Schizosaccharomyces pombe: one gene and its partners. Changing the gene in region 2 together with the main gene of any one other region gives a genetic interaction. Each region holds a gene or a part of one and is shown on either strand. Other genes may lie near its edges. The genes, in order: atg13, pqr1, vtc4 and atg8.

What was found.
Region 1: of pqr1 (region 2) and atg13, a mutation in one rescues a mutant of the other (synthetic rescue), as found in Schizosaccharomyces pombe (one study listed by BioGRID).
Region 3: of pqr1 (region 2) and vtc4, a mutation in one rescues a mutant of the other (synthetic rescue), as found in Schizosaccharomyces pombe (one study listed by BioGRID).
Region 4: of pqr1 (region 2) and atg8, a mutation in one rescues a mutant of the other (synthetic rescue), as found in Schizosaccharomyces pombe (one study listed by BioGRID).

Annotation. Positions count from the first base shown.
Region 1 is NC_003424.3:4,838,505-4,847,562, forward strand, and holds atg13 (autophagy-associated protein kinase regulatory subunit Atg13), read right to left. Parts: upstream 5,100-9,058; 5' UTR 4,941-5,099; coding exon 4,806-4,940; intron 4,728-4,805; coding exon 4,632-4,727; intron 4,388-4,631; coding exon 2,342-4,387; 3' UTR 1,981-2,341; downstream 1-1,980. Other genes in the region: BUD22 family ribosome small subunit biogenesis protein, read left to right, coding at 610-1,776; protein mug126, read left to right, coding at 6,351-7,320, 7,359-7,559, 7,600-7,625; ribosome biogenesis protein Noc1, read right to left, coding at 8,293-9,058. UniProt on the Schizosaccharomyces pombe protein: Component of the atg1 kinase complex that activates the atg1 kinase in a nutritional condition dependent manner through the TOR pathway, leading to autophagy.
Region 2 is NC_003424.3:2,420,542-2,428,899, forward strand, and holds pqr1 (ubiquitin-protein ligase E3), read right to left. Parts: upstream 3,286-8,358; 5' UTR 2,663-3,285; coding exon 1,250-2,662; 3' UTR 905-1,249; downstream 1-904. Other genes in the region: protein Rrg9, read right to left, coding at 1-300; epr1 (ATPase co-chaperone protein), read left to right, coding at 5,650-5,738, 5,873-6,926; ribosome assembly protein Rsa3, read right to left, coding at 6,992-7,234; tRNA m(1)G methyltransferase Trm10, read left to right, coding at 7,479-8,358.
Region 3 is NC_003421.2:1,317,364-1,326,075, forward strand, and holds vtc4 (transporter chaperone complex subunit vtc4), read right to left. Parts: upstream 3,668-8,712; 5' UTR 3,228-3,667; coding exon 1,062-3,227; 3' UTR 1,012-1,061; downstream 1-1,011. Other genes in the region: phosphoribosylaminoimidazole carboxylase Ade6, read left to right, coding at 1-632; rpl3402 (60S ribosomal protein L34), read left to right, coding at 4,224-4,559; prohibitin Phb2, read left to right, coding at 6,481-6,784, 6,992-7,258, 7,315-7,383, 7,433-7,659; ribosome quality control complex subunit Rqc2, read right to left, coding at 7,834-8,712. UniProt on the Schizosaccharomyces pombe protein: Catalytic subunit of the vacuolar transporter chaperone (VTC) complex.
Region 4 is NC_003423.3:3,681,630-3,688,636, reverse strand, and holds atg8 (autophagy-associated protein Atg8), read left to right. Parts: upstream 1-3,266; 5' UTR 3,267-3,371; coding exon 3,372-3,405; exon of another isoform or gene 3,406-3,486; coding exon 3,487-3,542; exon of another isoform or gene 3,543-3,708; coding exon 3,709-3,984; 3' UTR 3,985-4,356; downstream 4,357-7,007. Other genes in the region: mug30 (ubiquitin-protein ligase E3), read right to left, coding at 1-98; SPOM_SPBP8B7.26 (uncharacterized protein), read right to left, coding at 671-1,374, 1,429-1,513; cyclophilin family peptidyl-prolyl cis-trans isomerase Cyp4, read right to left, coding at 2,038-2,180, 2,274-2,736; rnf10 (ubiquitin-protein ligase E3), read right to left, coding at 4,555-6,576. UniProt on the Schizosaccharomyces pombe protein: Ubiquitin-like modifier involved in autophagosome formation. With atg4, mediates the delivery of the autophagosomes to the vacuole via the microtubule cytoskeleton.

The DNA of each region.
Region 1 (9,058 bases), 2.4 Mb from region 2:
ATTGATCAATCTAAAAGAATCAAAAAAAATAGAACATATTAAAATTCAGTTTTTACATTTCTGAGTTATTAGCTGAATACATAAGAATATATCTAAACTGTTTCAATCACCCGTGTTTAAACGATTATAACTTGTAAAATTTAAAGGCAAAGCAATTTTTTTATTCTTTTGAACTTAAATAACATTAAGGTTACTAAAACAAAGAAGAACACAACAGCGGCTACTGTTCAAACTAAGTCCAGATTTTAGTTTAAACATTTTAATAAGCGCCCATGTTGTTTAAAACTGCATGCTAGTCATTTTGGCTTGCTTCATAATCCAGCAGGACAGAGAATGGTACTCCTTCGCTGATTCTAATAATAGTCTATATGAATTGATTAAAATTAAGTTTTATAATTATTCACCTTAATTGTAAAGAGCACTGATGATGCTATATTATCTGTGGGGCGTATACGGTGAAATTACTCTTCACCACATCGGTAAAAAATTGTATATTTTGCTGGTTATGCTATAATTGGGCATAATAACACAAAACTTACTATTATAGAAATTTCATTTGGTTTTTTTGGATTTTAGTGGGTTATACTCAGGGTTTGCATAATTTTTTAAATGGTTTTTACGTCTCACAAAGGCGTCAAAAGAAAAAGTCATCACTCTCAATTAAGTGTCGATGATGTTCCAAAAAAGATACCTCTATTTAAGAAAAAAATATCACAGGCATTGAAAAAGGCATCTACCTTTGAACGGCAAAAGCTTGTACGAAGAATTAAAAATTGTAGAGCCAGTGAAGATGCTGATACTCTTGGCCGTTTTGAGGCAGAATTTGAATTTGCCAAACAATTTGACTTCACCAAATTTGTTGATTATTGCTATTATAAAAAAATCCTTAAAAACAAGGATTTTCGGAAGTTACTGAACGAAAATCTTCATGTTGATTTTCCTGCAGATTTGACTGAGGATGCTCAGAGAAATACCGTTGCTAGAATTTTAAATTCCAAGCAATTATCTGATGCCATTCGAAACATCAACTCAATACTCGAAAAGTATCTTCGTTTCTTAAACCCCGATTTACAAGAGTTGTCAGATAAAAAGGCTGTGTCTTCTACCCAAAAACCCATTAAGACCATCGGAAAAGTAGATTTGTCAAACAAATCAACTTCTAATCAAGACCAAGTGGATAATACCCATGTTCAAAATAGCACCGATGGCGTTAATCAAGATACTGGTATGATTTTGGATAATACTGAGGACAAAGAAATCAACAAGTCTATGTCATATTCTATGAAAAATGAAGGTGTAAAAGAATCATCTCTTCAAAATGCTACTTTAATAAACAGGAAGTCTATAATTGATGATGAGATGTTGGAAATTCCTCTGGGCAAACATAACAATACTAATCTGCCTGCCCTTACAGCGGGCTTCTTAGATCCAGTCGAAAGTGATGATGAATTTGTCGAAAAGGAGTTAGAAGAAGTAGATATCCCGAAGCGTAAAAATCGTCGTGGTCAAAGAGCTAGACAAGCTATTTGGGAAAAAAAGTATGGTAAAGGTGCTAACCATTTGATAAAAAAAGCGACTGAAGAAAGGAGTATTCGTGAAGAAAGACAGAGAAAGTATGAAGAAAGGCAAGCTAAACGTGCTGCTCGTGAAAATGCTTTTACGGAGCACCAAACACCTCAAAAACCAGAGCAACTGCATCCCTCTTGGGAGGCTAAAAGGAAACAAAAAATGCCTTCTAGTGCAGCATTCCAGGGTAAAAAAATAGTTTTTGACTAATCTTAAACATTCCAATTTATAAAATAGTAGTGCTTTTTTTCGATATTCAGGAAGTAAGAAACATCCTCTTTTTTTCAAAACAATGGTAAAACATCATAGCGTTTTACATTGCTCAAATCGCAGCTAGAAGATTGTATTAATATCTTGAAACTGTATACGTTGCTAATATTTTATACACAGAATAAACAGAGCTAACAAATTACTATTATTCATGATGTTTCTGTTGCTAACTAGTAAATTTAAATTTTCAATAACTGTGATTTTTTAAATTATTAGAAACTAAATTACAATTTCAATTAATACCTACACTAGCTAGATAAACAGTATATGTAGATACTAATCATGGTAAATGTGAAAAGTACAGTCAGACATTATGAGTATTTTCAATCGCTGCCCAAAGCTCATGAATTGAGGCGAATATTGCGAAATTCACTTGTATGGAACGAAGCTTAATTGAAGCTATAATGCAGCTGAAAAAAACTATTAAAAAATTAAAAGAAAACAAGAATGGTTGAGTGCATTAAATGGATGCTATATCACTCCAAATTCTAAACATAGGCTTCGCTTAATCATCGGATTTGGGAGAACCAAGCCTAATAGCTGAAACATCATGGGGTTCAAGAGTCATATCAGTCATTGTGAACAATAAATCATCATCATAATTGGGGTTATGCTCATTGTAATATTCGTAAGTAGGTGTTGAAGGAGTAAGACATTGACGTCGTTCTTCAGAAAGATTATCAAAGTGCTTTTTGTACTCTTGTGGGATTCCCGGCTCAAGTACAAAAGAAGGGCTGGGCGTCTTTGTTGCTTGTAGGCTTGCTGGCGTTGATGAATGTTCCAGTGATTTGGATAAGCTGGTGTGATATTCGAAACGCGGAAGTCCAGCAGAAGTAGCCGATCTAGCACAAATTGGTGATTGACTTTTCCGCATATCGTGAAGAGATGCTAGTTGCTTTGAAGTATCGTTTGCTGATGGTACTTCAGTTTGAGTATGAGGAATAACAGTGCTTGGAGACCGGTTATCTCCTTGGAACGTGGAAGCTTGTGAAATGGATGTCAGGGGAGCAGGGAAGGTAGATTTTTCAGAGAAGGAAGGCCGAGATCGCAGCGTACCTAAAGTGTGATGGCGCATGATGCTATGGCTAGAATTTCCAAGATTATGCTTCACAGCCTCAGTAAAACGGGATCCGCTATTATCAATTGAATGATTATAGGTATCGATGTCAAAAATTTCATTGCTACTACCCAAGGAATTATGAGGGTGAGCAACTGGCGAAATTCCAGATGTCAAAGTTTGTACCTTCCCTGGAAATGAACCACTTGATTTGCTACCTTCCGAAGCATTTAAATGATGTGCATGACTATCTAATAGTTGAATAAAACCGCTAAGATCATCCTTTGATGCAAATTCACTATCATAAACAGCATGCTCAGAATGATCTGTTATAGGATTCTCTGAGACGTTATGTTTGAAAATGCTACGAATAGGATGATTGACTAGCGGTAAACGATTACGAGAGCTAAAGCTTTCTTTACGCTCGCGGGGACCGAAACTACTGCTAAATCGTCGAAGATTCGGGGTATTGGAAATGTCAAGTGTGTTAAGCTTAAGACTTCCAGATGTAAGAGGTGGCAATTTTGCTCTTGATTTGCTTGCAGCATCAGAAATCATTGAAAATTTATTTAAAGAGGTGGCTGATGGTCCGCGATGTATATAACGATTGACTGCAACCTTCGGAGAAATTGACATATTGTCAAAATTTGACCCTGGGGAAGCAGATAATGACGGAGATTTGAAAGGATGTATAGTAACAAGAGGAGCTGCTTGAGCTGTTATAGACTCAATGCTAGCTAAATGTTGGATTTCAGATTGTAAAAGAGAATTCGGATCCGACTGCTTAGCTAACCGCGTTGCAAAAGAAGGAGGTGGTTGATCATACTGTTTGCCATCTTCAAAATCTTGAGAATTGTTCGAAGCAGCAAGTTGATGCTTGTCTGCAGATAACAACTGGTTAGAGAGTAACGCATCAGAATCATGAACCTCAAAATGACAATTTTTACGATACTGAACAGATATGCGAAAATCTCCAGCTGGTGTACCAACAGGGCTGAAAGAGAAAGTTGCAATACTGCTTCCGAGCGAGGATGAAATTGGAGCACTTATAGGAAGGAAATCATTCGATAAAACATCATCCGTAGAGAGGGCACAGCCAACTTTTAAAGATGTACCATGAGCTCTTAATTTGTGTATTTTCGACTTCAATTTCCACAGAGGCATAAGATGGGTATAAGTGTAGAGGGAACGAAATAAAACAACTAACTTTTTGTACAAAACAGCCAACTCCAGAGGGGTTGATAAGGCTTCGCCATCTAAATTCACAATCCATCTTTCAAGTACGATTTTCATTGTCGACATATTATTAAAGTTGATTGCGTGAGAATGAGTACCATCGGAAACAGAAAGGGTTTGATTTTTTGATAAATCAGATATATCTAAATATGTGTGCAAAACCATTGGAGGTATTTTTCGTGAAGGAGAAAGTTCAATATTCTTCCAAATTTTGAATTGCTCGGCATAAAGCTCAGTTTCAACAATTTCCAAATTGAACTACATTTTGTTAATTAAGTGCAAATATGAATTTTTTAATTATTTGTAATTCCACATTTATACATCAATAGTACAGTGATCAACTTATTCACCTGTAGCTTAAAAATGAAACTCTATGCAGACGCACGAGATGAACGTAAACTGATAAGTAATTGATAAATAATCTTGAGTTTTTTGAAAACCACTGTATGAATAAAGCGCATAACACCGATACTCGTCATTGTAGAAAAACAAAAATACATACCCATTTGTTATTCTTAGAACTTTCTCGAGGACGAGAGGTCCCAAATACATTTAGTCTGGATTCCAAAATTATTAATCCGGTTTTATAAAAACAATGCTATTTGTAAATGTTAATACTTTTCAAGTAAAGGATGGGTGGACCTCAAGCAAGCTTATGATACACACTTTAACTTACGTGAATGACTTGGCCCAGCTTAGCGCTCCTACCACCCACTGATGATAGATCTTTATTTAACTCAGTTGAAACTGCTTTACTATGCCCAGGGGGAGCAGAATACATTCGAGGAAGCTGCGTATTAAGTCTCGGCATATCAATGTGGTTTCCATTAATTCAATTGCAACTTCAAAGTATAAATTATTAATTTTTTAATGTAACAATTTGATTGTTAGCTCATTCTTTAAATTGATAAAGCAGTTTTTAATTAGTTTTCCTAATTGAATGAATTTGGTTTTGCAGTTCGTATTTGGTAAGGCAGAGTATTGTAGTAAGCGGCAAAAGATACTACAGATGCCATGCTCCAACGAAGCACGGTAAATATTAGCGTTGCGTTAAATACGATTTCTTTCGATCACGTTATAAGACAAATGGTAGCTATATTTAAAGGCTCTTTAAACTGCGGTGAATCTTGTTTTGTGAGCTATTATTTTGGAATATAAAGGGATTATGTGCAACAGTGCTGCAAGTAGTCTTGTTGAAGGGAACAATTTAAATTCACAATAAATGGAGCATAACCTACAACAAGTAATTAAGTAATCTGAGTTTTATTTGATTTATGATTCCCTTAATCCGAAAAAACTTCGGACATAAACATACAATTTTCGAAAATTGTCAATAAATGGATATTAACCGTTTTTTTTTATTGCACAACAAATGATGATACGTAATGTATTGCTAAATGTAGGAAATGTTTGTTGACAGCCGCTAAATATTCGCTATTTTAAAACCCAAATACACAAACATCGCTTATGGAAAACAAACAATAATGTCGATTTATGTTGGCTGAGTGTACGGTAATTATTAACTAATTAAAATCATTTACAAGCACTAGCTTATTGATTTAGGATGCATTCTCTATCACTTTTGTGAAAGTTAAATGTAAAACCCTCAGTATTATCATGTTTGAAGCGATGCAACTGATGTTAAAGGTAATGGTCATGATTTTAACCCGAAGTTAAAAGGATATTACTGACTTCTAAGAGCTCTTAGTTTTAATAAAATGCTCATTTTTTTGGCAGTACTAAGTTTTGCAAGCTTAGGTTTGCTCAGCCCTTTTCGTTTTTAAAAAAAAAAAGGAATTAAATTATGTGGTAGTACTAAAATACCTTGAATTTCGTACTCTGGTTTACCAACGATATAAGGAGTCATAAAGAAACGAGACTTTAATTAATTTTTGTTTTTGCTATTAAATTGCAGATGCCATAAGTCATGATGCTGCGATGTTTTCATCATCAATTGTCAAAATGTTATATATTCTTTACATTCCAAATCACCAAGATTAAAATACTACTTTTTGAAGTTTCAAATTTGTTGGTTACAAGGTGTTTCTATTTTTTTTAGAAATCCAATATAATCGCTTGGCTTTAATTGTACTGCTGCTATTTGTTTTTATTTAGAAGTCTTCATTTTTCGGTTCCCCAATTATAAATTATCTGACTGTTGAAAACAGATTTACTGCTTCAATATTAACAATAATTAATAAGATAGAGATAAGTTGAAGAAATGGGAGAAATGCTTAACGAGAATACATCATCAACATCATTGTCGTCTTTTTACGTTTTGGAAAATGAAACCATTTTCAACGTGCAAGAAGAAATGGAGGAAGATGGTTCAGAATCTGGAAATATTCAGAAGACCTTACTAGAGGATCCGTGTCCGGAAAATGTCAATGACGAAAATGAAGATGAACAGAATAGATCTTCTAGATCGTCAAGTCCACTTGTGAAGCATGAACAGAGACATAGAATGTATAACTTGAAGGAAGTAATCAAATCATTCATTCTTACAAAGTCAAAAGAAAAACCATGCGACCTGGAGATGGGAATTGATTCAATTGAAATGGGAAGAATGCAAAGCTTTGAAAGTGATCAACAGGAATCTCACACTGGTCAAGCGAACTTTCCAACTGACCAGGAGGATCCTCGAAATCCTCAATTAGACTCTCAATATGAAGCTTTCATTACTCAAGGGGAATCACAAACGGACAAAAAGAAAACTTCGACAGTTCAAGAGGAGGAGCTTCAGAATGCTGGGAAAAAATTGGAGACTGTTCAAGAAAACCCTCAAGCTTATTCAAAGGTCACCCAACAGGAGCCACAGGCTGGTCAAAAAGCTGTACCCCAGGAACCACAAGCTAATCAACAGGAGACTTCGAGCAATCAAGAGGAATCATCATTTGATCGACAGGAAACTCAAGATGACAAGCAAAAACCGAAGACTACTCAACAGGAACATTATAATCTTCGAAATAGAAATCAGGCGACAATCACAAACAGCAACTCAAAACCTCAGACACGCCGTTCAAAAATATTTGTCATTTCCTTACTTGGATACGGAGTCTACTTGCTAGCCTTTCTTGATTTAATTGAATATGTTTCAAAGGAATACGGGTTTGAAGCAACAGTTTCGGCACAAATCTTCCTGTGGTGTTTGTTTGGAGTTTTGATGATTGCCAGAGGGCTAATCTACCTAGGTAAGTTAAACACCATAATATCAATACTAATTTTTTAGCATTGTTTCGAAATTTTTTAAATATTTTAAAACGAATGGCGATATATTGCGGCGCATGTTTTTGGGTTTACGCCTGTATCTTCTTTTTGACAAGGGTATTCTGTTTTCTAATAGACACACCCTACCCGCAATTCGAAAAAATACCGCTGGAAATTTATTCGATTTTTGCTGCTATAAATGTTTACATTATTGAGCTAGGGGGTAAGTTTTCAAATCGTGCTAAATTTAATAACTTGTGTAGCAATATATTGCACTTCAGGGCGTTAAGTGCTTATTCGTTAAATTTAACTGCAGATCATCATCATTCTGAAATTTTACATGTTTCACAACTTTTAAAATGACCAAAATATTCGCAAAAAGCTCTGTTAATTTGATGATGTTATTGTTAACAACTTTCATTTTTTATCTCTTTTTTATTATAAATCGTTGCTGGTCTGACGGATGTGATTGCATTTTCGTTTCTTTAGAGTAACACAAGCAAATAATACATTCATTTTCTCAGACAAATTGAAACAAAACAGCTAACATTCTCCCAAAAATTCTTTAGTAGTGTAAAGTAACTATTAAATCAAAGAGCGCTTAGTTTATATAAGAATTAATTTTTCTGTTTATTCAATTGATAAGGGGAATTGAAATTACGGTCATCTTAAAACATAGAGTATATTACTTTCTATACTAGAAAATCATAGTCTTTTGTAAATAGTAATGATAAAATTCAATCCTTACTATAAATCCAATACAAAGCCGGTATAGGGATAAAAAAAATTTTTTTTTAACAAATTAATTCTAATCTAAAAAAACTATACCCGAAATATGCAAATCCCAATTAAAATATCCATTATCGCCCCCTAACCAACGGAAAAAGGAATATAATAAACCTTCGAAGTTATACGAAATAACCAAATGTTGAATTACAATACTTAAGCAGCAAAAATCAATTTTCGAGTAAATGAGCATACGACTCAGCATCAGCAAATACAGGTAAATCTTTAATTGCTTTTCTCTTTTTCTTTTTATGAGAATGGGTCTCGGAATGATCAACGGTTTGTATTTCTTCCTCATCGTCAGTTTCATTGAACGGAAGCAAATCATTTTCATCTTCAAAAAAATCAACAGTATCATCAAACTCATCTTCAGAGTGTGCAATCTCCGAAAGATTTTCCTCGTCTGAAAACATGGGTTTTTCTTCGGAAGCCATTGACTCATTGTCATTCTCATCTGCAGACTGTTCACTATCACTACCCATATCGGTCATTGCTTTATCCATCTCTTCAGAATCAAAGTCACTTTCCTCTTCATCCATTTCCAATTGTGGTTTGGAATCAACAAGAGCTTTCCAAACTTCATCCTCGTCAATTTCACCCTCTTCATCCCTATCCACCTTTGTCTTTCTAGCCTGCTTTCCCTTGATATATTTATCATTGAAAAAGCGATAAAAGAAAAGCTCATCAACAGGAATCTCCTCTTGTTTCTTTGAAGTGAACTGCTCAGAGTTCATTGGAACACCACTGTACGTAGAACCAGGAACATAACCTTTGCTCAGGCCTCCAGCTAATGGTTGCATAATTGAATGACCACGAGCAGCAGCAGACTTCTTCGGGTTTCTATATGCAAATTTGTCAAGAAAGTGGTTCAACGTATGAAGCGACAAATTAGGTTTACCCAATATTTTTTCACCATAAACAAGGCTCTTGGCTAGG
Region 2 (8,358 bases):
AGATTTCTCCCGATCGTCTAATGGTCTATTAGAGGATTTCAAAATTCGGCGAATACTTTCAGGTGAAACTCCATATAGTTTTGCCAATTCTGAACATGACATAGATGATTTTTCTTTCTTTAGACGCCGAATTTCGTCCATAGATTCTAAAGGAAGTTTCTTTTTTGGATTCCAATAGCCTCCAATTTTTCGTTTGACCGCTATGTTCTGCTTTTTCCACTCTATAGAGGCTTTGTTTGAAGCTTTGAAGGTAGAGCTTAAACGGCGAAAAATCAGAGTAGTATAGTTGAATATATTCATCAAAAAAATCCAAACGTTTCCTTTTTTCAGTCTATGTGACCTTTAAGTAATGACACTATATATTCCATTACCACTTAGAATATTTAGTAGCTGGTGAAGTATAATTACTTCCACTTATAACAAAAAAGTACAACGCTCAAAACTACTCCGATATTAGGTTGAGTTAGTAATAGTTGTAAACAGCCTTAAATTACTCCGCGAAATACTCGGATTTAAACGTTGTCAAATATCTTAAATCTTGTTCATTCGGAGTTTTCAGTGAAATCGTGGCAAAGGACTTCTTGATGCTCCGGTAAAGTCGGTTTTAGAAAGCAAAAAACAGCTTTTGCTAGTGTTCCAAACACAAAAACTACTACCCATAGCACAATTATTCATTAAAATCTGTGAAGAGAGACATATTAAACACTGTAAGTGGGTAACTTAGGAATTGAGATAAAAGCATTGTTTTTCGGACTATCAATGTTTAGTTGCTGAAAGTTACGTTAAGTTTACAAATACATCAGAGGTTGACTACAAGAACTTCCGAATAATATGAATAATGAGTTCAAATTTGGTAAATTTAAGTTACGAATACGATTTCCTAAAACATTACACAGCTTTTGTAAGCTAAAATTCTATAAATGTCTATTGTCTATGTTGATTTTTAAAAAATATGTTCGGTTTAGTAAAGATTAATGGTATGTGATGAGCAAGTATTATGTACAAGCATTTAAAAAAGCTAAATATAAGAAAAAACCGAGAATTATAAGCAAACGTTTATAACAAAGAAACACACGAAAATGCTATTTACAGCAATAAAAGTTAGGTGAGGAAAGAAAAATAGAAAGTTAGTATGCAAATTAGGCAAGGAAAACATAAAAAAACAGATAATCAAATATAGTGAGTAAAAAATAGTCCTGAGCCTTTAAGAGAGGGTTGGGAATTTAGCGGAAACAAATCCGTCGTCTATCTACATTATCACACAATTGTTCTGACCTGATACAACAGAAATTGAAGAAGGAGTAAACGTATCGTTCTCATTTTCTTCAAACTTTTCCTTAATCTCTCTTGGGAAATATGTTTTCATAAAATTCATCAAGGCGTGATCAATATTGCGAGAATCGGCTTTCATAACTTCTTTGGCACGACACAACGGACAGAAATCAACTTTCTGTTTCTGAAGAATGATAAGGCAATGCAAACAAAAAACATGGGAACAACCTAATCTCACCGGCTTGTAAGCAACGTTAGAGCATATAGCGCATTCAAAATCCCTCAGTTGAGGAATAATCGAGAATAGCTTAGAAGAGAGTGAAAAGCATATAGCTTTAGAAGCATTGTCGACCAAAAGAAGAGGGTCTGATTCGATAACTTGAAAAAATAGAGGTTGAGCGGTTAAGGATGTCCGCTTATCAAACTTTTTCATGATCTTCGTAACGGCTAACTTATTCATTTGCTGAAAAGAAGCAACTTTCAACAAACTTTCATTAAGTTCAAGAAACTTAGCATACAAAATACGATCACGATGCTTTGAGGAAGAGGGAAGACATTTTGCTAGCCTGACCTGATCGTCAAACCATTTCAAATGGCGCTCAGCGAGCTCGGGAGTGCGTTCATGACTCTGATCAGCTTCCTTGCAAGAAATAAATATATCGGAATCCATATAAATTTCGAAAATTTTTCTCCAGCAATAAAGAGATTTGTATTTCTTTTTGGAATTAGGGGAAGCTATAAGAGATATTTCATGACTCAGGATATCAATTGCGTTAAAAAGAATTTTACGCTGTTCACGCTGTAGTCCTTCAACACTTTGCAACTCCGAAGTTAATTTTTCAAAAAACTCGTGGTCACAGTTCAACGATATTTCCATACTTTGAACTTCGGACATGTCAGAACTCATAGTTTGAGTATCGATATCTTCATCAACCGTTTCACAAGTCTCTACGCTCTGAGATGATGCGGACACACTTGGTAACGTATTGGTAGGGGGCTGCTGAGTAGAATCCGAAGGAGTAGAAGGAACATTTGAGGCATAATTACTCCTGACGGTTGTAATCATATTTGATGCATTCAACTGCTTGAACATTGAAGCAGCGAACTTATCAGTTTTCAATTTATCAAAATTTACGTTGATAATAATTTTGGGGACAACAATGTGTCCCTCTTTGCCAAGGGAGTAACTAAGCGTAATAGCTTGTTGGGGATCCACGGTAGTCGGAGCCATCAATTTACTGATGGTCTCAGCACTTAGACCCAAGGAAGACAGCTCAAAAACGAACCTTTTAATACATTTTTTTAAGGCCTTGTACTGAATGGCAGCCTCGCCCCAACCAGGGGGCATATCGTTTTCGAGAGCCCTTTTAAAATCGTGTCCAAATTTCATATCGGAAGGACTTTTTTTCAATGAAAATGAAAGAGGATGAAACCTTTACAAAAGATTGAAATCAAAATATTTGAAAGGCGGTAAAACTACAGAATAAAAAACCAAAGCCCAAGAAGGAGAAAGCTTTGTGGTTTTTATAAAAATGAGTGCTCCGACCTTTGCAATCGAAGTATCGGAGTTAAGTATTTTCTTTATTACAAGCAGATGGAGAAAGAAAGCTTGCAAGATAGAGTTTCGCAGAGTTGAATTGCGTACGTTTTGATTAAAATATATATATATTAGTAATGGAATGAAGTGAAGAAAAAAGTAACAGCCCAAAGACCTAAAAGCTGCTTGTGATAAAACAACAAGCTACAATGGGACGAAATTAGATAGAATAGATAAATGGAATGGGAATGAAAATAAATAAAATGATTTTCTAATACCACGTTTCGAATCAACCGAAACCGTCGTTCGCAAACGGAGACCTGCCTGGCTTGATTCAACCAAAGGTACGTGAGTGTTTAAAATTGTAAAGAGATGCGTAACTCCTTAATACTTATACATATAGTAAATGAATTTTCGATACTATTTCAAAAGTTTTAACACTGTACTAATCGTCAAAATCCTTGTTGGTTCATGACAGGTGAAAATCCTTGCAGTCCTTTCGCATCCTTATATTGCACCGCGTTAGACGACGCAAGGTGGCAAACCAAAGCATTTCCCCCTGACGTCATAAAAAGAGCGGAGGAACTTGCGGTATAGGTAATACTACCCAACCGCACTCGGGTTCGCAATGTTATTAGTAAACGGCCTTCCGGTAAGCCTTACAGTAAAAGGAAAGGAAGCAGGGGCAATTGGAAGACCAGCAGTGGTACGAAATCTTCCTTAGCTTTATAGAATGAGGCTTGTGCTGATTGTCAACAATTTGCTGACAATGTGTGAAACGTACAGAGTTGGGTTGTTGAACAAATGTTCTGTAGCACTGTGCCAAAAGAGAAAAAATAAAAAAAAATAAAAAAAAAAGAGAGATAAAGGATAGTCGGTAAGAAGTTGAGCCTCTTTGTTTTCCTCTTTTTTGTATTGTTTTTAATTTTGTATGTATATGATAATAAGTAGGTATCTAATTATATTTGATTGATCCGATTAAACCGGACTATGACTGTAATAACCATTTTATTCACGATTAGTTAACGGTGTGCCACAAAAAACTAAAACAGATAAGGGCAAGTTTCGTATGGAATTATTGTACATTATCGTATTGAGTAAGTAGATAAACGTGTTTGATGACTATAGACATTAAAAGGATTATCGAGATTGTAAAATTTTGGTTTTTTTACAGATTAGAAAAAAAAAGAAAAAAAAAAAAAAAAGAGGAGAAGGACATGTTGCAAATCCGTGAGTCAATAAAACAATTCTGGAAGAAGCAATTTTTTAGTATTCACAATGTAAAGGAAAGGACGACAATTACAATTTCATTGAATAATCCCAAGCTATAGGAGAGACTTAAAACGAGTTTGAAATATTGAAGAATATAGAAGGATAAGAAAGTCGATTAGTATGAATTTTGAGATTCTATTAAAATATGAATAGCAGCAATTGTTAAACTATCAAAATTTTTCTTTTATTCATTATACAATGCTATTTACTTATTACGGTGAAAAACTAACACGTCAACCTCAAACAATTTAGGATTTAAACTTTCGCTTTCCAATCAAGTTTAGATTTTTATTTTCCCTAAAAGTAGTCTTCTCATTTGCACATGATTTTGTAATGCTAAGCTTGGGGTAAATGAAAGAGACCTCCCTTTTGTAAAAGAAATCTGCGTAATGCTTATAACATCGGGTCGTAATTGCTTGACTCAATAATGTAAACAAATTTTGTTAAAACTATTTGTCCCTTGAAGAGGCAGTGTTATATAGTCAGATTAGCAACACAATATATTAAAAACATCGAGGAAATTTGCATTAATAAATGCGAAATTTTCGTATTCTATATGAGCGAAACCTTAGCTAAATAGTATTGATTAACTCAGAAAAGACCAAGCATTCATAGCGAAATTAACATGAAAATTCGTGATAATAGCCTTGCTACATGAAGGCAAGAAGTTCGTTTGTTTTTAAGCAATGCAAGCATGGCATTATTATTAGCGCATTGGCTTCTTCTAAAAAACACAATCTTACATTTTAATTCGGTTGTGGAAAAATTTGATCTTTAGTTCAATGTCTTTTGTAAACTGATAATTTTAACTTCATTTTTTGGAAATGTGCATTTTGCTAATGCATATATAGCAGCAAGACCTTAAATAACAATATAAGTTTTCATGAGAACCATGTTTTCTTAATTAAGAAGACAGTAGTTTGTAAACTGTATTAAGATTATACATATATCAATATATGTTAATATATATATTTATTCATATATTCATTTTTTACAAAAGTGATTTTTCGGATTTCAAACTGTCTAAAGTTTGCATGTATAGAACACAAATTTATTTAGGGTTCAAATGATTTCGTACACAACTTTAACTTATGTTTCGCTTGTTGTATTTATTTACTTCAGCATTGGCGAGACGTGAGGGACCACACCATATTATGTATTTGCGGGTTTGTCAACACAGATTTAATTTACCCATAGCATATTACTTTATTTTTTAGCATTAACAGTATTTTGATTCGTTGTTTCTCGTCAATTCGCCTTTTTGTCTCTTTCTACATTTTTTGAAACACAGTTGGGAGCTATTGTCGCCGGTTTGTGAGAAAGATCACCATTTTACATAGAACGTACTGAAGGTATTGTATTTTGGCGATTGAACGGGCAACTCTCAATTTTTTTGCTTTTTTTGTATTTCAATTGTAGAATTGAATTGTTAGTTTATCACAAGCAATCTCAATTGCGGTTGATAATTCATTCCACTCCTCGGCCTTGGAATTTTGTCTTTGAAGCTACTTTATATAAGTCTTTTACTGGTTAACTTATGATTTTATGCAAATTATTTATCACCAATCATGAATAACCCTTTTAAGGATATGGATTGCTATGAAATCTTGCAAGTGAATCATGACTCTGACTTGCAAGAGATTAAAGCAAATTACCGGTATGAAAACTTGTTTTCAACTTAATCAATCAACATAGAATATAAATTTACAGCTTTTCGATCTGTGATTAAAACATAATCGTTTAAGTTGTGAAGAATTGATCGCCTTTGTGTATCTTTACTAATCATAACAGAAAATTAGCTTTGCAATATCATCCCGATAGAAATCCGGGCATTGAAGACTATAACGAAATATTTTCCCAAATAAACGCTGCATACAATATTCTCTCTAATGATGATAAACGAAAATGGCATGAAAAAGACTATCTAAGAAACCAATATTCTGTACAAATTGAAGACGTTTTGCAGCATCTACAAACAATTGAGAAAATCCCTTTTGAAAGCACCTCAGCGTTCGTTGAAAGACTGCGACAAGACGAAAAAATAGCGGGTTCCACAGACGACCTTCCAACTTTAGGGGACACAACTTGGCTTTGGACGTATGCCAAACCTATTTATCAAAAATGGCTAAGATTTTCAACGAAAAAATCTTTTGAATGGGAAGCTCTATATAATGAAGAAGAGGAAAGTGATGCAGCTACACGGCGATTAATGAAGAGACAAAATCAAAGGCAGATACAATACTGCATTCAGCGATATAACGAACTTGTCAGAGATTTAATAGGAAAAGCATGTGATCTTGATCCACGGAGAAAAAACGTTGTGAAACTAAGCGATGGAGAAAGATACAACTCCCTACAAGAAGCATCGCGAAAGCAAAGTGAACGTGATCGGCGTCAGTACCAGGAAACTTTTAAAAACCAATCAATTGCGTCTTGGACAATAATCGATCAGGAAGAAACATCCAGCGATGATGAATCTTTGAGCAAAGAAATTGTGAATTCAAATCCAATAATGTGTATGGTTTGTAACAAGAACTTTCGATCACAAAATCAATTGGAGAACCATGAAAACAGCAAAAAACATAAAAAAAATTTAAGGAAAATGAACCAAGAAATAAAAAAGCACGCAAAAGAAGCCCAGAAAAACGCGGAATCGAATAAACAACCCGAAGATGCTCCTAGCGAATCCCCATATTCGAACAAAGTTTCTTCCTCTGACTTCTATACGAGAAGTTTTGAGGAAATAGAAAAAACATTTACTTTTGTCGAAATCTCTGATAACGAGTTTTATACAGCATCCGAAGATGGTTTTTTGAACGAAGACGATAAGTTGGATCAAGATTAGCACCGCAAGCTTATCTTTTTTAATAGAATAATACAGGTCTGTTTTTTGCTAAGTTATATAAACCATTATTCATAAATTTTGTGACCAGCACGCAAACTTTCAATAAGCAATTGTAGTTTGTTATGATCAAAAATTTCCTTTTGCCTTAAATTGTCTAGCTCTTCTCCAAACTCTGAAGTAAGTTGTTCCATATATTCAGATAGTGATGGCTTTTCTGTTTCTTTTTTTGAAAATGTCTGAAACATAGGATTTTCAAGCATATTTGATACCGTCGATTTGTTATCGATTTTTTGATCGTTTGTTGCCATTTTTCAAAGCTTGTTTTGTCGAAGTTTGTAAATAATACAATTTTGCAAAATTTTTTTATTTTCGACTTCCTGAATCCCTTTATTACCCAAAGTTAATAATTGCGAGATTGGCGTAGTTACCAACTTTTTATACTTCACAACACTCTTACTTTTTCCATTAGATGAACAGCCTGGCTAGGTTCAAAATAACGATATAACTAGATAAATTTAGGCTATATTTTGACTGCAATAAAGTTGGGAAATTATGGAAAACAAAGACGCTTTAGATATTGGTAAAGATGACACAAATACTTCTGAAGCTGACGTTTCTAAAAATGAAACTCAAGAGCAACCCGTTCTTAGCAAATCTGCATTAAAAAGATTAAAAAGACAGCAAGAGTGGGATGCAGGTCGTGAAAAGCGAGCAGAGATGCGCCGGGAAAAAAAGCGATTACGAAAAGAGGAAAGAAAGCGAAAAATTGAAGCTGGCGAAGTAGTTAAAAGTCAAAAGAAGAGGATCAGACTAGGAAAGGTCGTTCCTAGTAGTATCCGAATTGTTTTGGATTGTGCATTTGATGATCTGATGAACGATAAAGAAATCAACTCTTTATGTCAACAGGTTACTAGATGTCATTCTGCAAATCGTACAGCTTTACATCCTGTAGAACTTTTTGCTACCAACTTTGGTGGACGTTTGAAAACCAGACAAGATTTTGTGCTAAAGGGGCAACAAAATAATTGGAAACGATACAACCCAACTACTAAGTCTTATTTAGAGGAATTTGAATCCCAAAAAGAAAAATTAGTATATCTTTCTGCTGATTCAGATAACACCATCACCGAACTCGATGAAGACAAGATTTATATTATTGGTGCGATTGTCGACAAGAATCGGTACAAAAATTTATGTCAAAATAAAGCGTCTGAGCAAGGGATCAAAACTGCAAAGCTTCCAATTGATGAATACATTAAAATTACGGATAGGAAAATACTTACGGTTAATCAGGTCTTTGAAATATTATCTCTTTGGTTAGAGTACAGAGATTGGGAAAAGGCATTCATGGAGGTCATTCCAAAAAGAAAGGGAATTTTGCTTAAAAGCGACGAATCGTTTGATGTTTCTGAGGATACTAGGTCTCAGTCAA
Region 3 (8,712 bases), on a different chromosome or scaffold from region 2:
ATCTTTATGGTAAAGCTGAATCTAGAAAGGGTCGCAAGATGGGACACGTTACCATCATTTCTGATTCACCTCAAGAATGTGAACGTAGGTATCAGATGCTTCTTGACGTCAAAGATCCTGTCGAATCACCTGTTGTTGGTATTATCATGGGTTCGGATTCTGATTTAAGCAAGATGAAAGATGCTGCCGTCATTTTAGATGAATTCAAGGTGCCTTACGAACTTACTATTGTTTCAGCTCACCGCACACCAGATCGCATGGTTACTTATGCTCGTACCGCAGCTTCAAGAGGGTTGCGTGTGATTATTGCTGGTGCTGGTGGTGCCGCTCATTTGCCTGGTATGGTTGCTGCAATGACACCTCTTCCAGTAATCGGCGTTCCTGTAAAAGGAAGCACTCTTGACGGAGTTGACTCTCTTCACTCTATTGTTCAGATGCCTCGAGGTGTCCCTGTCGCCACTGTTGCTATCAATAATAGCCAAAATGCCGGTATTTTAGCCTGTCGTATACTTGCTACATTTCAACCCTCCCTTTTGGCTGCTATGGAGAGCTTTATGGACAATATGAAAGAGATTGTTTTAGAAAAGGCTGATAAATTAGAAAAAGTTGGTTGGAAAAATTATTCTGCATAGGCGACCATAGACATAACTGTTAAATGATTTTGCTTGCTTTTTGTTTTAAATAATATTTTATTTTGAAATTCTAGATTGTAAAATGTATTCTAAAAAGTGATTAAAAATTAAAAATAAAAACCCCCCGAATAATGTGCTGCGACGCAATTAAAAAAAATAAGAATCCTGAATAATGTGCTGTGAAGCAGTTGAAAGAAAATTAAAGAACCCAATATAATATGCTATAAAGCAATCAAAAAATAATAGTAAGAAACCCAAATAAAACCCCGTTGACCATGTTCCCAATTAAATTAACGCATATTAATGCAAAAAATGCAATATTAAGACTAGTTATTAAACCGATAATTAGTCTTCAATTATTAAAAGATGTAGTTGATTTGTATTATCTTTCAATTGCTAATTCTAAATATATTGGAGAATTCAATGAGTTTATGCATTGAAGTTTAAGATAACATTGGCGCTGATTGCAGCAAAAGTAATCACGCATATAGCTGTAGGACCAAAACGATCATCATATCGGACCGCATTATGTTTGGCTATGTTAACAGCTCTCCACAAGTACAAAAACGTGGAATAGAAGATAGCAAATAAAGCTACCAACGTGAAACTAGCAGCTCCTAAAATACCAGATCGCGTCTTAGCGAAACTAAATAAAGTTATACCGATGGAACCCATCAAAATAGAATAGCGTAGATAGTCCAGGTATGTACGCTCCAAGGCAAAATATGTCTTGGGCTCAACACGGACTGGGACATAAATTCGCTTACCAGGAGGCGACACATACTTTTGTTCATATATGACCGTAGGCTCAGTAGGTTCTTCGAACTTGGGTACAGTCTCCAAGAAAAATGAATCCTTAATGTCCTTTAATCTGCTGTTGAGAGCTGCAACGAATGAGTCACGTCCTTTCCTTTTGGAAATATCAAGCAAATTAGTGCGTTCATCGAGCTCTTGAAAACTGTCCGATGTTTGGAAGGTAGAATTGTCATTCCGGGTACTAGATGAGCCAATACGAGATTCTTCGTCAACATAATTGTCACCATCGGCATGAATTGGTGTATTCTCAGAATCGGTGAGTACATTCGCAGAGACAGATGAACTATGAGTACCGCTTTGACTGCGTCCCTGAATGAAAGTGTGAGTAGCAGGTTTACGAATATCAATGTCCATTTGTGGGAACCAATATGGAAGCAAAGTAACACGGTCGTAAAAAAGAGTAGATACACCGTGGATGAACTTGGAAAACTTAGGGACAGCCTCGACCAGGTGGCTATTAACAAGATTGTTAACCCATTCAGGAGGATCTTGACCAAATTGAGTTTGCAACTTGACCTCCAAAATGGCATAAGGGAAACGAACAATATCTTCATCAGGAAGTTGATCAAAAGGATAGTCAATTCCAATATCCATTCTTCTCCAGTTGTTACCGGCGCGGGACGGACCGTCTTCCCTAATCAATGACAAGTTCGTATCAAGAGAAATACGAACACGTGCATCACCTGGAAGTTGAAATGCAGTACGTTCATAAAAGCTGCGAACATAAGGTTTCATTCCACGGCTCAAAACAGTATACTGAACTTCCTTGGCAAGCCTTTCAAGACTTTCGATTTCTTTCAAAGACTTCTTGCCATCTTTACGCATCTTGGCAAATGCTTCTTCGACAGTGTAATCACCTCGGAGAAAAGCATTTACATATTTCTCTTTAAGGGGAAATCTAGCTTTCACACTTTTTTCACCAGTCCAGTCTTCTCTATGAGTCTTTCGTTCAACAAAGATATTGTTGTTATCCATATTACCATACCAACGAAGACGAATAGCTTCGGCGCCTTCACGCTTTTCCAAACGGCCTAAGTAAAAATCCAAATCATCGTTATCATAGTAGATACTAGTAATAGCAGCATCTTCACGAGCAAATTCTTTGTTAGGATTGAAAACAAGTACAGGAAGATGCTTTAAAATGTAAATCTTCAATTCGGTAACATTATTTGGGTGAACCCAATATTTAGTGGTTTGACGCACGAAGTTTTGTTGTGTACCACCGGCAGCACTATCACCTTTGATAGGGCTACCTCTAGTACGAACGAAATCGTAAAGCTTACTGAGCTTAACAACCAATAAATCATATTGCTCTTTGAAAAATGGTTTAGCATTTAAACGAGCAGCAAAAACGGGCTTAAGGATCCAACCTGTATGTTTGTCGTGCTTCTTGATGATTTTATAAAACGCAGTGTAATTAAGTTCGCTAAATTTGGCCAAATCGTGGACAGTAGCCATAATGTCGGTAAGTTCAGTTTCCAAGATTGCAAAATCATTTTCATTGGGAGGATTATCACTATCAAGACGACGAACAACTTCATCAGTTTGTTCTTCACAGAATCGGATACGTTCCATAACTTCGGCAGACTTGTTCTTTTGAAAAGAATAAACTTTATCCAGCTCCTTTTCTAAAAGTTCAACAAAGTCCGACTCGTCTTCCTCACTCCAACCACCTTGATCATTGCGGCGTTTAATTTCCTTCTTTAGTTTGTCATAGTTGACATATGAATACTTGTATTCATACATCAACGTTTCCTTCAAAAGCTGACCAAACTTCATGTTGCAATTTTCAATAAGTTAATCTAGTAAATAATAAAGAGGGATTCAAGGGAAAATAAACGTATAAATTTGGGAATAAAGAATGATTGAATTTTTAATATCAAAGACTGTTATTAGGTGATCCCTTGAAAAATTCGACGAAGAGTAAAAAAAGTGAAAAACAACTGCAAACGGGAAATAATATCTTCCTCTTTGGGAATTTTACTAGTATTTGACAAACTTAAGTGCCAAACAGTAATATCCTACGAATAAATCTTCAATATCACAAAATTTGTTCACAAAACAATCAAAGAGACAACAAGCACTTTTGTAGCTATAACTTAAGCACAAAAAAAATTAAAAAAAAGGTAACTCCAAAAAAAACTCTGTAGAGTCAAAAAAAAACTGTAAATATATCTGTAATTAAACGAGCTTGAACGTTGGTAGTTTGCAGGTGTGGTGGAGAGAAAAATGGTCAGGGTGGTAGTGGCGTAAAGATGAAATAACTCAAAAGTTGACAAGATCGGGAAAAGGCGATCCAAAATCAATTTCAAAGCTGAAGAAGTTGATTTTTTAGGTGTGAAAATCTGATGCAAATTAAAAAGCAAAATGTCCTCGAAACATGATATTTCTGATTTCAAATAATCTTCATTTTAAAGCAGTTAAGTATAATTCATTATGTTATTTTGCGTTGAGTTTGTTATGCCTCGATATATCCGTTTCACGATCCCAAACAGTCACGCAAAAAGTTGGTTTTCAGAGCAATAATCAACTCTCCGTGCGCCTTACACTTCTAACAGAAGAAGTATAAAACAAGAGGACAAAGTTGGTCAGTTTATCATAAATTTAAGGGTTCTATAGAAAAAAAGAACGTGTACACTTGAATTTTGCGATTGCCTTTTTTTTCGGTGGAAAAGGATAGTTAGGAATATTTCATTAAGGAATAGCATTCAAGCAACCAAATCAGCGCTGTAAAATTTTAATAATTTTATTTTCATTTTCATTTCATAATTCAAAATGGCTCAAAGAGTTACTTATCGTCGTCGTCTTGCATACAACACTCGTAGCAACAAAACCAGAATCATCAAGACTCCCGGTAATAACATTCGCTACCTTCATATTAAGAAGCTTGGTACTATACCTCGCTGCGGTGATACCGGTGTTCCCTTGCAAGGTATTCCTGCTTTGCGTCCTCGTGAGTTCGCTCGTCTCTCGCACAACCAGAAGAAGGTCCAACGTGCCTATGGTGGATGCCTTAGCGCCAATGCTGTCAAGGATCGAATTGTTCGTGCCTTCTTGATTGAAGAGCAGAAGATCGTAAAGCAAAAGTTGAAGCAGATGTCTCAAAAGTAAAGTTCATGAAAACAGAAATTAATTATATTGCGTCACTGAATTAAGCAATCTATATTAATTTTTGATCAGCTTCCTTCTCTTTTAAATTGGTATTTGGTATTCATTTTCTGTTTGTGCTTCTTTTTATTTTGTTGTTAGTTATAAGCTTCGTTTTCGACTTTTTTAAGACGTCAAAAATTAGATTACTTAAAAAAATGTAAACCAATTATAATAGCAACGTGCTACAAATAGAAACAGTTGAAATAAACACACTATGATGAATGTATCTACTTTGACCTGCTGTAGAATGTATCCCTTAACTTTTAAGTGTCGTCTTGAGATATTGATACAGTGTTCATCAATTGTATGTCACTATTAGTTGTGTCTTGTTGGATTATCGATTGCCAGGCATAGAAGGATACGCTATTAGTAAATCAAAAGAGTAAGATTATACATTTACGATTCATATAAGCAACTGCGAACACTTGAGCTACTTACTTTTCCTTTTTGACGTTTTCGAAACTCCTGCAGATAAAACTTTCGTAAAAGAAAACTACTGTTATTTGAAAGTGAAAAGAATTACTCGTATTTAGTACAGGTTTGTGCCAGGTAGACGTAACAGCTAAAATAAATGCTAAGTAATTTATGATGACTTTTATCTCAAACGAGCTGAAAGATTGAATATATTCTTCCGAGGTTTATTTGACGTTACCTTTTTACTTTGCTTGTTCAAACGTACAATATTTTCAAATCTCCTCGGGAGGCCTTATCTTTAATATAGTCCTTATAAAGTTGGCTATTTTCTTTTATGTATATATTACTTCTGAGCTTGCGCTAAGATGGATGATGCTTCATTTATGCAGCTTTTGTTCAAAATACATGTTATAACAATAAAGCTTCTTTTTGATCCTTAGATATACTTCAAAAAATTAGTCTAATAATTATAATACTACTAAATATCATGTATACATTTTTTGACTATTATAATTCATATTACTATGTTTCTCGTTTATACCAATCACTATTGTGACCAAGGGCCTATGTCTTTTTATTTTTACTTTTATTTATTTTTTTTTTTTAATTATGTCTCGTAGAGTATCGATTGCAGATATTTTTATTTATTGTAAACAAAACAAAGCCCGTCTATACATTAAATCGAAAGAAGGTTTACAAAGAAAATTAAAAGTAAAAGAATTACTAGAAAAATTCATTTATGTGTGCTTTTGCACCAAAAGATAGTAAATAAGAAAATGCAAAACAAATTTCGGTTTCATATTAAATATTGTAACATTGTTGCAATATTCTATTGTCTTAGCATACCTTTTATAAAATTCAATCATAGAATGCTGTTAAACGTACAATGCAAATGTAATTGATAACTTATATTTTTGAGTCCCCGATGGCTTTTCTTCGTTTATTTATCAGACAGTTGATTAATTACAGTTTTTTTTGTTTCAAAAAATAAAACAAAATAACAGGTATGGGAAAAAATATTTTTGTTTAGATTTTAAATGCACATCGTTCACCGTTTATTGAAAAAGCAAGTTTTAAAATTAAAACGTCAATACCTTTTTGTTTGTAATTAGAAAAAAAATATAAATCATATAATGAATGAAGTTTAGTAAGTTTCAACTTGTTCGCGAAATAAAACGACGCACCTCACATTTTCTATCAAGGCTGCACACTACAAAGCGATAAAAATAGCAGTATTCAATTCCTGCTAATTTTATATTATAATATCAATAAAATAAAAGAAAATTATGAAAAAAACTATCGAGTTATTTGTTTTTTTTTTGCATATAAAACAACATTAATCCAACTCAAATACCGTACTATGATACAATACGATAAAATGGATAAGGTATACTGAAGTGCCATTTTAAATGCTTACTTATACGTATTCATTTTACAAGTCTTTCTTTCCCGTATACAGCTTTTCAGTATGAATCGTCAAAGACCGTTCCAGCAGATGAATGATTTGATGAAGCGGGGACTTCCTAAAGGAAAATATGCTTTTACAGGAACTGGTTTGTTGTTAGCTCTTGGCCTTGCAGGATTTGCTGTGCAGACTTCTCTTTTTAACGTTGATGGTGGTCACCGAGCTATTAAGTATAGCAGGATTGGAGGAATTAAAAACCTTATATATCCTGAAGGAACCCACTTCTTGATTCCTTGGATCGAAACGGCCATTGATTACGATGTTCGTGCTAAACCACGAAATATATCTTCTCTAACCGGAACGAAAGGTAGGTTACAAGAATTAAAACGTTGAGCGTACATAACTAAAGGTGACTGTAAGAAACATTCATTTGGTTTTTATACCTACTGTGAATTAAGCTTTTAGTTGCAAAGTGATGAATTGTGTTTATGGATTCTACTCTTCTCGAATAGCTAAGCTTTGAGGGGTTTTTGTTGGTTGTATTACTAGAAATATGTTAACCATTTTTCTTTAGATTTACAAATGGTGAACATTAATTGTCGTGTTTTGTCTCGTCCCGATGTTCATGCTTTGCCAAAAATTTATCGTACTTTAGGTGGTGATTATGATGAACGTGTTTTGCCCTCTATTGTTAATGAAGTCTTAAAAAGCGTTGTAGCTCAATTTAATGCAAGCCAGTTGATCACCCAGCGTGAACGTGTATCTAGGTTGGTTCGCGAGAATTTAATGAAGAGAGCAGCCCGATTCAATATTTTGCTTGATGATGTCTCACTTACTCATGGTATGACTAACATTAGTCAAGCGTTTGTACCTTAAAATACTAACTGCATCCAATAGTTCAATTCTCTCCTGAATTTACAGCCGCTGTAGAGGCCAAGCAAATTGCCCAGCAAGATGCTCAAAGAGGTATGGTTCAGCTCTTCGTACAAATTCAATATTAACAATAATTTTTTAGCTACTTTCTATGTCGATCGTGCTCGAATGGAAAAACAGGGCTTTATTGTTCGTGCTCAAGGTGAAGGTAGAGCAGCGCAACTAATTGGTGAAGCTATTAAAAATAAGCCTGGTTTCATCGAGTTAAGAAAGCTTGAAACTGCTCGTGAAATTGCAAACATTCTTTCAAAGAGCAATAACAAGGTCATGCTTAATGCCAGCACATTACTTTTAGATGATATTAAATGAAGTCTAATGTAGGAATTGTCATTTTATTAATAAACAAATTTAACTTTTTGATACAAAATTCTCTTTGAAAACCATAATATTCGCTGATTTCTTCAATTTCTGTTTAAAAAAACAAAAACAAAAACAAAATCAAACAGTGAAGTAGCTCCAACTATTAATCTCAAATAAATATTTTCATTTCTTTGACTTTTTGGTATTACCGCTAGATCCAAAAACCATCTTTAAACGACTCACACTTATAGGAGCAACAATTTCACCGTCTTTAAGGTTTTCAAGATAAGCAGCTTCTTTTGATGACTTGGGAAGTTTTTTCATGAAGTAGGCGATTGATTCCCTTGCCGCTTTCCCAACTTTTCCAGTTCCAGGCATGACTTTTACCTTCTGGTTAAATTTAGTCATAGCATTGTATGGGGCAAATGTCGGAACAGCGTTTATCACAGTATCCTGCTGTTGAGGATTAGGGGTTAAAGAATCAATTGCAAAAAATATTTCTTCGAATAAACTCCTCGGCATCTCTTGTCTTTGAAAACTTTCAACCTTCGCATGCTTTTTTTCGTCTCTCTGTTCAGTAGACAAACCTTTTTCATTCTCAGCTTCACTGTTACGACTTTGGTCTTCAATTACTTCTGCACTAATGGGCTCGGAGACGCCATCTTCTTCAATCTCTGATTCGGCAGTGGGTGTTTGAACGTTTGATGAATCATTAGAAGGAATTTGAGACGAAATTTCCATTTCTCGAGCCGCATGCTTCTTCTTAGCCTTTTTTTGTTTTAAAATTGCCAAAATAGTTTGTGGGTCTGTAGCATCCTCTATTGAAATAGGTGCTTTAAGAGATTCCTCCAAAGCAGTTTGCCTTCTAGCGCGACGTGCTTCACGCCTTTCTTTGGCAGATACTTTCTTAGCTGTTATAACTTTAGAACCTTTTTTACCACGCTTTTCGCTGACAATATGGATGTCTGAACCAGTGGTATCAGGAGTACTTTGATTGTTGGTGTCCTCATTGTAACTGACTTCAGACACAACATCTTGAATGTTATCTTCAGAAGTTACCGA
Region 4 (7,007 bases), on a different chromosome or scaffold from region 2:
TCAAGTTCTGAGCGGCTAGAAAAACTAGAGCCATGAAGTGCTGGGAGCGTTCTACGGTTTCCAGAAGACACATTGGCTATTTCAATAGGGCGACTCATATAAGCAATTCACCTTCTAAGAAAGATCTATATTTCGCTCTACAGATAAACAATTGGGACTAACCCAAAACAAAAAGACAAATCTGTAAAAGTATGGTACATATCTAGGCCATACTACACTATACATATATTGGTATAGTTATTTCTTAAATATTACGATATTCAACAGGTTCTCATGGCGTAGTCATTCTAACATTCTTTCGTCAAAAGATCATCACAGTTGAACCAATTTTCTAAGATCTTTGAAGGTGAATACTGTTAAAACAGATAAGTTCTTTACTCTTCTTGTATAATATGTATGTCATTAAATGCAGAAGTAAATATTATGACATTTACAAAGAAAATTACCATGTCGACTTCGCAGTACCTTATTTAAGATTTTTGAACGTTCCTACATTGATGATACCTTTCATTTTAAATTGTCAAATTACCTAGTATGTACGACTATTCGTAGGAAAGTTGATTTAAGAAGATTATGATTTAAACATTGAATAACATCTAGTATGCTAAATAGGCCATCCTAGGTAATAATGGTGTAGTAAGAGAAAGAAAATAGAAAGCAAAAATTTGGTTTATAGGTTGGGTCGAGTATTCCTTTGAACCGGAGGTGGAACAGAAGTTGGCGAGCTTACACCGGACGAATTACTAGAAGTTCGGGCAGCAAGTCTTCTTGGCTTTGGAGGTGCAGGTGGAGGTGGTTTCTTAACAGGCGACGCTGTAGAAGCAGCAGTCGCCGCGGGAACAGATCCAGATGCATATGAACTGTTTTGAGAAACCCTTCGGGGAGGAGGAACCGGCAAGGGTGCATTTGCAGAAGCTGTAGGGAGAGGAGAAGAGGCAGTATAATTAGCGTTTGACTGATAAGTTTGGGAATAAGAACCAGAAGAGCTGTAGGAGGGAGGTGGGGGCATCTGAGACATTACATTAGGACGAACAGGAGGTGGTGGGACTTGTTCTTGATTTAAGACGGACGGACGACTCCCTGGTCGACTAGGAAGTGAAGGAGTCCCTCTTGAAGGAAGAGCGGGTTCCTTGGGGGGCTGTGAAGGTTGGGAATAAGAAGGCTGCGAATAAGAGGGTTTCGAATAATCTTGATTTCCTACAGCCGGGCTAGCCGTTCTAGGTGTACTTCCAGTACTACTACCACCGGCACGCAACTGTGAAGCATGTTTTGGAGGAGGAGGCAATTTTGTAACATCGACATATTTTATTGATAAACGAGGCCCGGTTCCATGAACGGATCTAATATCATACATAGCATCTTCGCCATGTTCACCTATAAATCCCATTTTGTTAGTAATGTCTCAAAAAGCAAAGGAAATATGCTTACCTGGTAATTTCGATGTAATCTTATTCTGGAAGCGGTTCGCAGAATCCGACATCGAATGCAGTGATTTTTTTGTTGAGTCAAACATTACGATTAGTTTGAAATTGATTTCTCACAATTGACGCAAAAACCGATTTTACCCAAATGTTTGCGGTGGACAGCTTCCGACTCTCGAAATTCCTTAAGTCCGCTTTTCTAAGAGCCCATAGGGTAAACAACTACACAACGTGCTAGTAATATCAGCCAGCTGATAGGAAAAAATAATGTCTTTGAGTTCTTTTTGATAAAACATAACAAAATAGTAAGCAGCTAATAAGCTTCGCGTTTGTTGTCAATACTTACTATCAGAATTGCAGCATTGCTATTACGCTTGCTAAATTGGATAATATACGTAGAGTTCTATATTCATTCAATTGAAAACTTGTTAAAATCGCATTCTTTATGCGTATATTAGTTATACAACTATGGCTGTCAGAAAATGCAAACAAACTACCACAAGAAGTGATCCTTCCAATGATAAACGTTTATGTTAACAGAATGTAAAATCATTGCTTTTCAAGTAAATCTTATAAACACTAGATGTTGATGACTTTCATAAATAGAAAGTAGGGATTACAATTCATCTGTTCCGTCATCTTCAACATTTTCTTGAGACAACTGCCCAGATTTGATAATTTTTACATCTTCAAGAGGCTTATCACGGTTGTCAGTCTCAGCTTTGGAAATTTTCTTGACAATATCGTAACCAGAAAGGACTGATAAAATTAGTATTAGCAAACAAAAAAAAGGAAAAAGAAAACAAATAGTCACTTTTATAAAACATATACAACTACAATATGAATTCTTACCTTCACCAAAAACAACATGGTGTCCATCTAACCAAGGTGTTTTAACTGTAGTAATGAAAAACTGAGATCCATTGGAATCGGGTCCAGCGTTAGCCATGCTAAGCAAACCGGGACGTTGGTGAGAAAGCTTAAAGTTTTCATCAGGAAAACGGCTGCCATAAATTGATTTTCCACCAGTACCATCACCCTTCGTAATATCACCACCTTGAATCATGAAATTGGGAATAACGCGATGGAAAATAGATCCTTCATATCCAAATCCCTTTTCTCCGGTGGCTAATGCGCGGAAATTTTCGGCTGTTTTGGGAACAGTTTTACCAAACAATCCAATGGTAACTCTTCCAAGGAACTCATCACCTTGTTGCAAGTCGAAATACACTGTGTCTGTAACTTTGGGGCCACGGTTGGCAGAGATAAGCCCAAAGAAAAGAGTAAAAAGTAAAGAGAAATAGAACAACTTCATTTTTGTTTTCACAAACTAAAAGCTTCGTTGTGTGGTAAAGGATAAATAAATAGTTATGGTGGGGTTTAATAGCAAGACTCGCTAGATTTTGGTTGCTGTAGCAACTTTTAGCACAATGTTAAGCAAATAATTCAAGAAGCGCTTATTTGTTTACATCAAACACTACTATTTTTCTAATGGTTTGATTATTTAATGAAAGATAGAAATAGTAATTATTTGCAAAATTCTATTTCCTAACCTTTTTTGGAAGGTATTTACGTGTTAAGCGTGCTATTATTTATTTACACAACGTCTTTATTTCCATTCTTGCTTTTCTTCCTAAAAGAGTTGTGACTTTTGTTGTACCAAGGATTGAGTATATACCAATTATGGCTATCATACTATAAAGAAGTAGTAAAAATTCCTTTTGATTGTGTACTGCTTAAGATTCGTAAAGTATTTATTTATTACGAAATAAGGTAACTTATCATAGTATCATAAGATTGCTTCATATCTCTGTATACGTTACCCAAGGGTACGCTTATTTATCCAAGACCGTATACCACATAACTCACGCACCGTTTACAAAGAACACCGAATTTTGAAGCAATTGAAGAGAGGAGTTACTACTTCAAGCAAGAAGTTTGAGAGTTCTCATGCGTTCTCAATTCAAGGACGACTTTTCTTTTGGTATGTGTCAAAAACTTATAGAAGTTGTTTTTTGGACAGCATTGTAGAATACCTGGAACTAGTAGGCTAATTAATAATCAGAGAAACGAAAAACAGAGTCTCAAAGAATCCGGGAAAAATATCCCGATCGAATACCTGTAAGTAGAGTCTGGTGGTCAAAGAGAACAGGTTTCAGAGCAAAATAGTGGTGAATTGAACAACACCCATTGTTTTTGTCATCAAAAGTGAATCCATTGTTACAAGTCTGACCTTTTTCTTTCAAAAATACAAATTACGTTTTAAACTTAACTGCTAACTTAACAGGTTATTTGCGAGAAAGTTGATAAATCTGATATTGCTGCAATAGATAAAAAGAAATATCTCGTTCCATCTGACCTTACAGTTGGTCAATTTGTATATGTTATTCGCAAACGGATAAAACTTTCTCCTGAGAAGGCCATCTTTATTTTCATTGATGAAATCTTGCCCCCGACAGCGGCCTTGATGTCAACGATATACGAAGAGCATAAAAGTGAGGACGGCTTTTTGTATATCACGTATTCAGGAGAAAATACATTTGGAACAGTGTTTCCTTTTTAGATCAACAATTTGCCTGTTTTAAGATGGCCCCGCCTTCTTTTAATTGTGATCAGCAAAATTGTTTGTGGACAATGGTTGAATGATTCTTTATGTTTTTTTTACTCTGCATTTCTAGCTTTTTAGCTTTCAAGTTTCTTTGCTTTTGCATTATGATTATTTTACGCGCGTCTTATACATATCATTCTCAGGTTAGCCACCACGATTTTAAGGATGTTTCAGATTTGTCTTACAATAGATGTGATGAACGCTTATGACTAGTTTGCTTTGACAACAAAGTTATTTTACCTTGTTAATTAATAAAAACCATCAATTAAAAAAATTGATTTTGATTTTCTAATAATATTAAAATGTTGATAAATAATAAGTAGATATATATCATCAGCTGATTCTATCCTTTTTTACATTAACTGGTTGTCATAATAGCGAATACTATTCACATGCCCCAAAAAATTGGTCAATCGTAAACTTTCATAATTCAAGCAACAAGTGTTATAACTATATTTCAAAATAAAGCCCACTCCTGCATTTCAAAAATTTCAGTAGCATTTCATCACTGAGAATGCTCCATCTTTATCGATGGGCGGCACCTGTTGATAATAAAACTAATTTCTTCTTTTTTTTGTTTTTTGAGTTTTTGGAAGGTGCAGATAATTGAGCAACTTTGTCCCAGTCAACTTTCCAACCATCAAGATCGTCTTGATCATCGGTGTCATTTTGAATATTGGCAAGAGCTCTTGTTCCCCAAACAGTCTTTGCAGTAGATAAGGTAGACTCATCTGTATTAACCTCATCGGTAGATTCAAATTGATGATGACTTCCCAATGTGGGGAATGCTTCAGCAGGGTCCTCATGCACTACGGTTTTTGGCACAGGTCTCTGCATATTTAACTCGGAGTATATCTGTTCCTCTGTATCACGTTCAGCCCGTTGTCGATACCTTTCTTCTCTCATTTCTTGAGCTTTACGTTGCTTGCGTCGTTTACTGATTTCTGATTTGAAGGTTAACAAGACTTCTTTGGGAATAATCTTAGACCAATCACACTCAATAAAGGCAACTTCACAGCCTTCAGGTAAATGAGCCATATATTTGAACCGCTGACGAAGCTCAGAATTCACTAAGTGACCGGATGATATTCTTTCTACCCTAGGAACAAGCTCATCAGGAAAATTTTCGTACGATCCGAAAGCAGATTTTAAAATACGAATATCTAAAGGAGAGAGATAGATGTGGGAGTGAGCGAAAGGTTGATAGAATAGATAGGCATCTGCGATTTCAGATCCGCTAACATCATTCAAATCGTCAACTTCGGAAAGCTGTTTGAGGCTATTACTTTGAAGGCAAAGATTATCAATGTCGGTTTGCAAAGATTTGATGTTCTGTTCATTAACAGATTCAGATAAAGATGAGATTCGATCTAACAAAATTTGTGTGATTCGTTCATAGTATGTATCTGCAGACCCATATAATGAAATATCTTCAGCAGCTATTTGCTGAAGCTGCTCAATTTCTAATAAATGTTGTTGAACCATATAATCGTGAGATCCAATAATTATACGAGCGTACGCAGCCCCGCTCATAGTAAAATTAGGAATTTCATCTGAATGAAATGATCCATCTAAAGCAAAAGATCTACAAGATCTAGGAAACGCAAGTATAGATCCATTATTCCTCTGGTATAAACGAAGGCAGACGGACTTTCCTTCCTCAAGTTTCTGAAATTCCTTGTCTTCCACCCAGCGGATAGGATGAACATCTCGTAAACGTATGCTATCCCAACAAATAGGACAGCTACGATGACCACATTTTACTATCTTGGTGCCAGAAGTTTCAGCGGCTTTAACCTCCGCCGCCGTAGGGGTCTCGACGAATCGAAGCAAACAAGAAAAGCAATAAACATGCCCACATCTGGACATCCTTGCAGCGACAGGCTTTTCTTCAAGGCAAAACGGGCAAGCTGCTAGTTGAAAATCGGAAGAGCAAAGTACTTGCCAAACATCCTCCCACTTTACCGGAGAATCTGGATCTAGTTTCTGTGATTGATAATCACCAATAGGAGAGACAACAAACCTATAGTTTGCATTAACATATCTTGATTTATCCATGGGATGATGACCAGATCCTTGACCATAAGTATTATATCCACGGGACCTACGCGGAGGAGCAGAAAAGGCGTTCGAATTAGTCCTAGGTGTAAACTGAAAATTAAGTAGATGATTTAGATTAATCTGACCACGCTTATTAGTTCTCGCAGATAAAATATCAAAAAGATGTTCATCATAGACAGTTTGCGGATCATCAAGTGATTCGCCAATAGAATCAGCAATTGCACTTGATTGCTTTTCAAGACGCTTTTTATTCTTAGTTTTTCTTTCGCTAGAAGCTAATTGCTGATTCTTCCTGGGCATGCCTTGAGTCTTCTTCTCGGAATTTCGATGAGGCTTTCTATCGGCGCTATGTTCTTTAGTTTTGGCAGATGATCGGGGAATATTGGAAGAAGAAGGAATGAAGTTGGGAGATTTTGCATTTAACTTGCTCGAAGAATTACTGTTCGACGGCATCTCTCCCAATGCAGATTTTTCTCCGTTAAGCATTAAAACTAGTTATGAATCTTTAATACCAGTAAAATCAATCAAAGCATTTAAGCCTTTGACAGATTTTTAAACAGCAGACGGCTAAGGAGCTTAAATTCGTTTGAATAATCAATAACTATTAGACAAACGTCTTTGTGGCCTCCAAATCGTCTACCAAAACTGCTAAGGTAGAGAAAGTAAGACAACGCATATCGACGGCGAAATAAATTGTATAAAACACGTTAGTACAGTATTGTAAATACTGAATTTTAAGAAGTTACTTCGCACCTCATAATCGCTTTTAAAAATATTGAGTACGCTATAATCATCGGTACGCAACGTTACATTTTACTGTTTTCATTCAGTTTTTAAACAAATTTCGATCTTTGTTATTAAATAAGCATGTAATCAATTTGTAATGGCTATATGTTTAGAAATTATAAACTTAATAT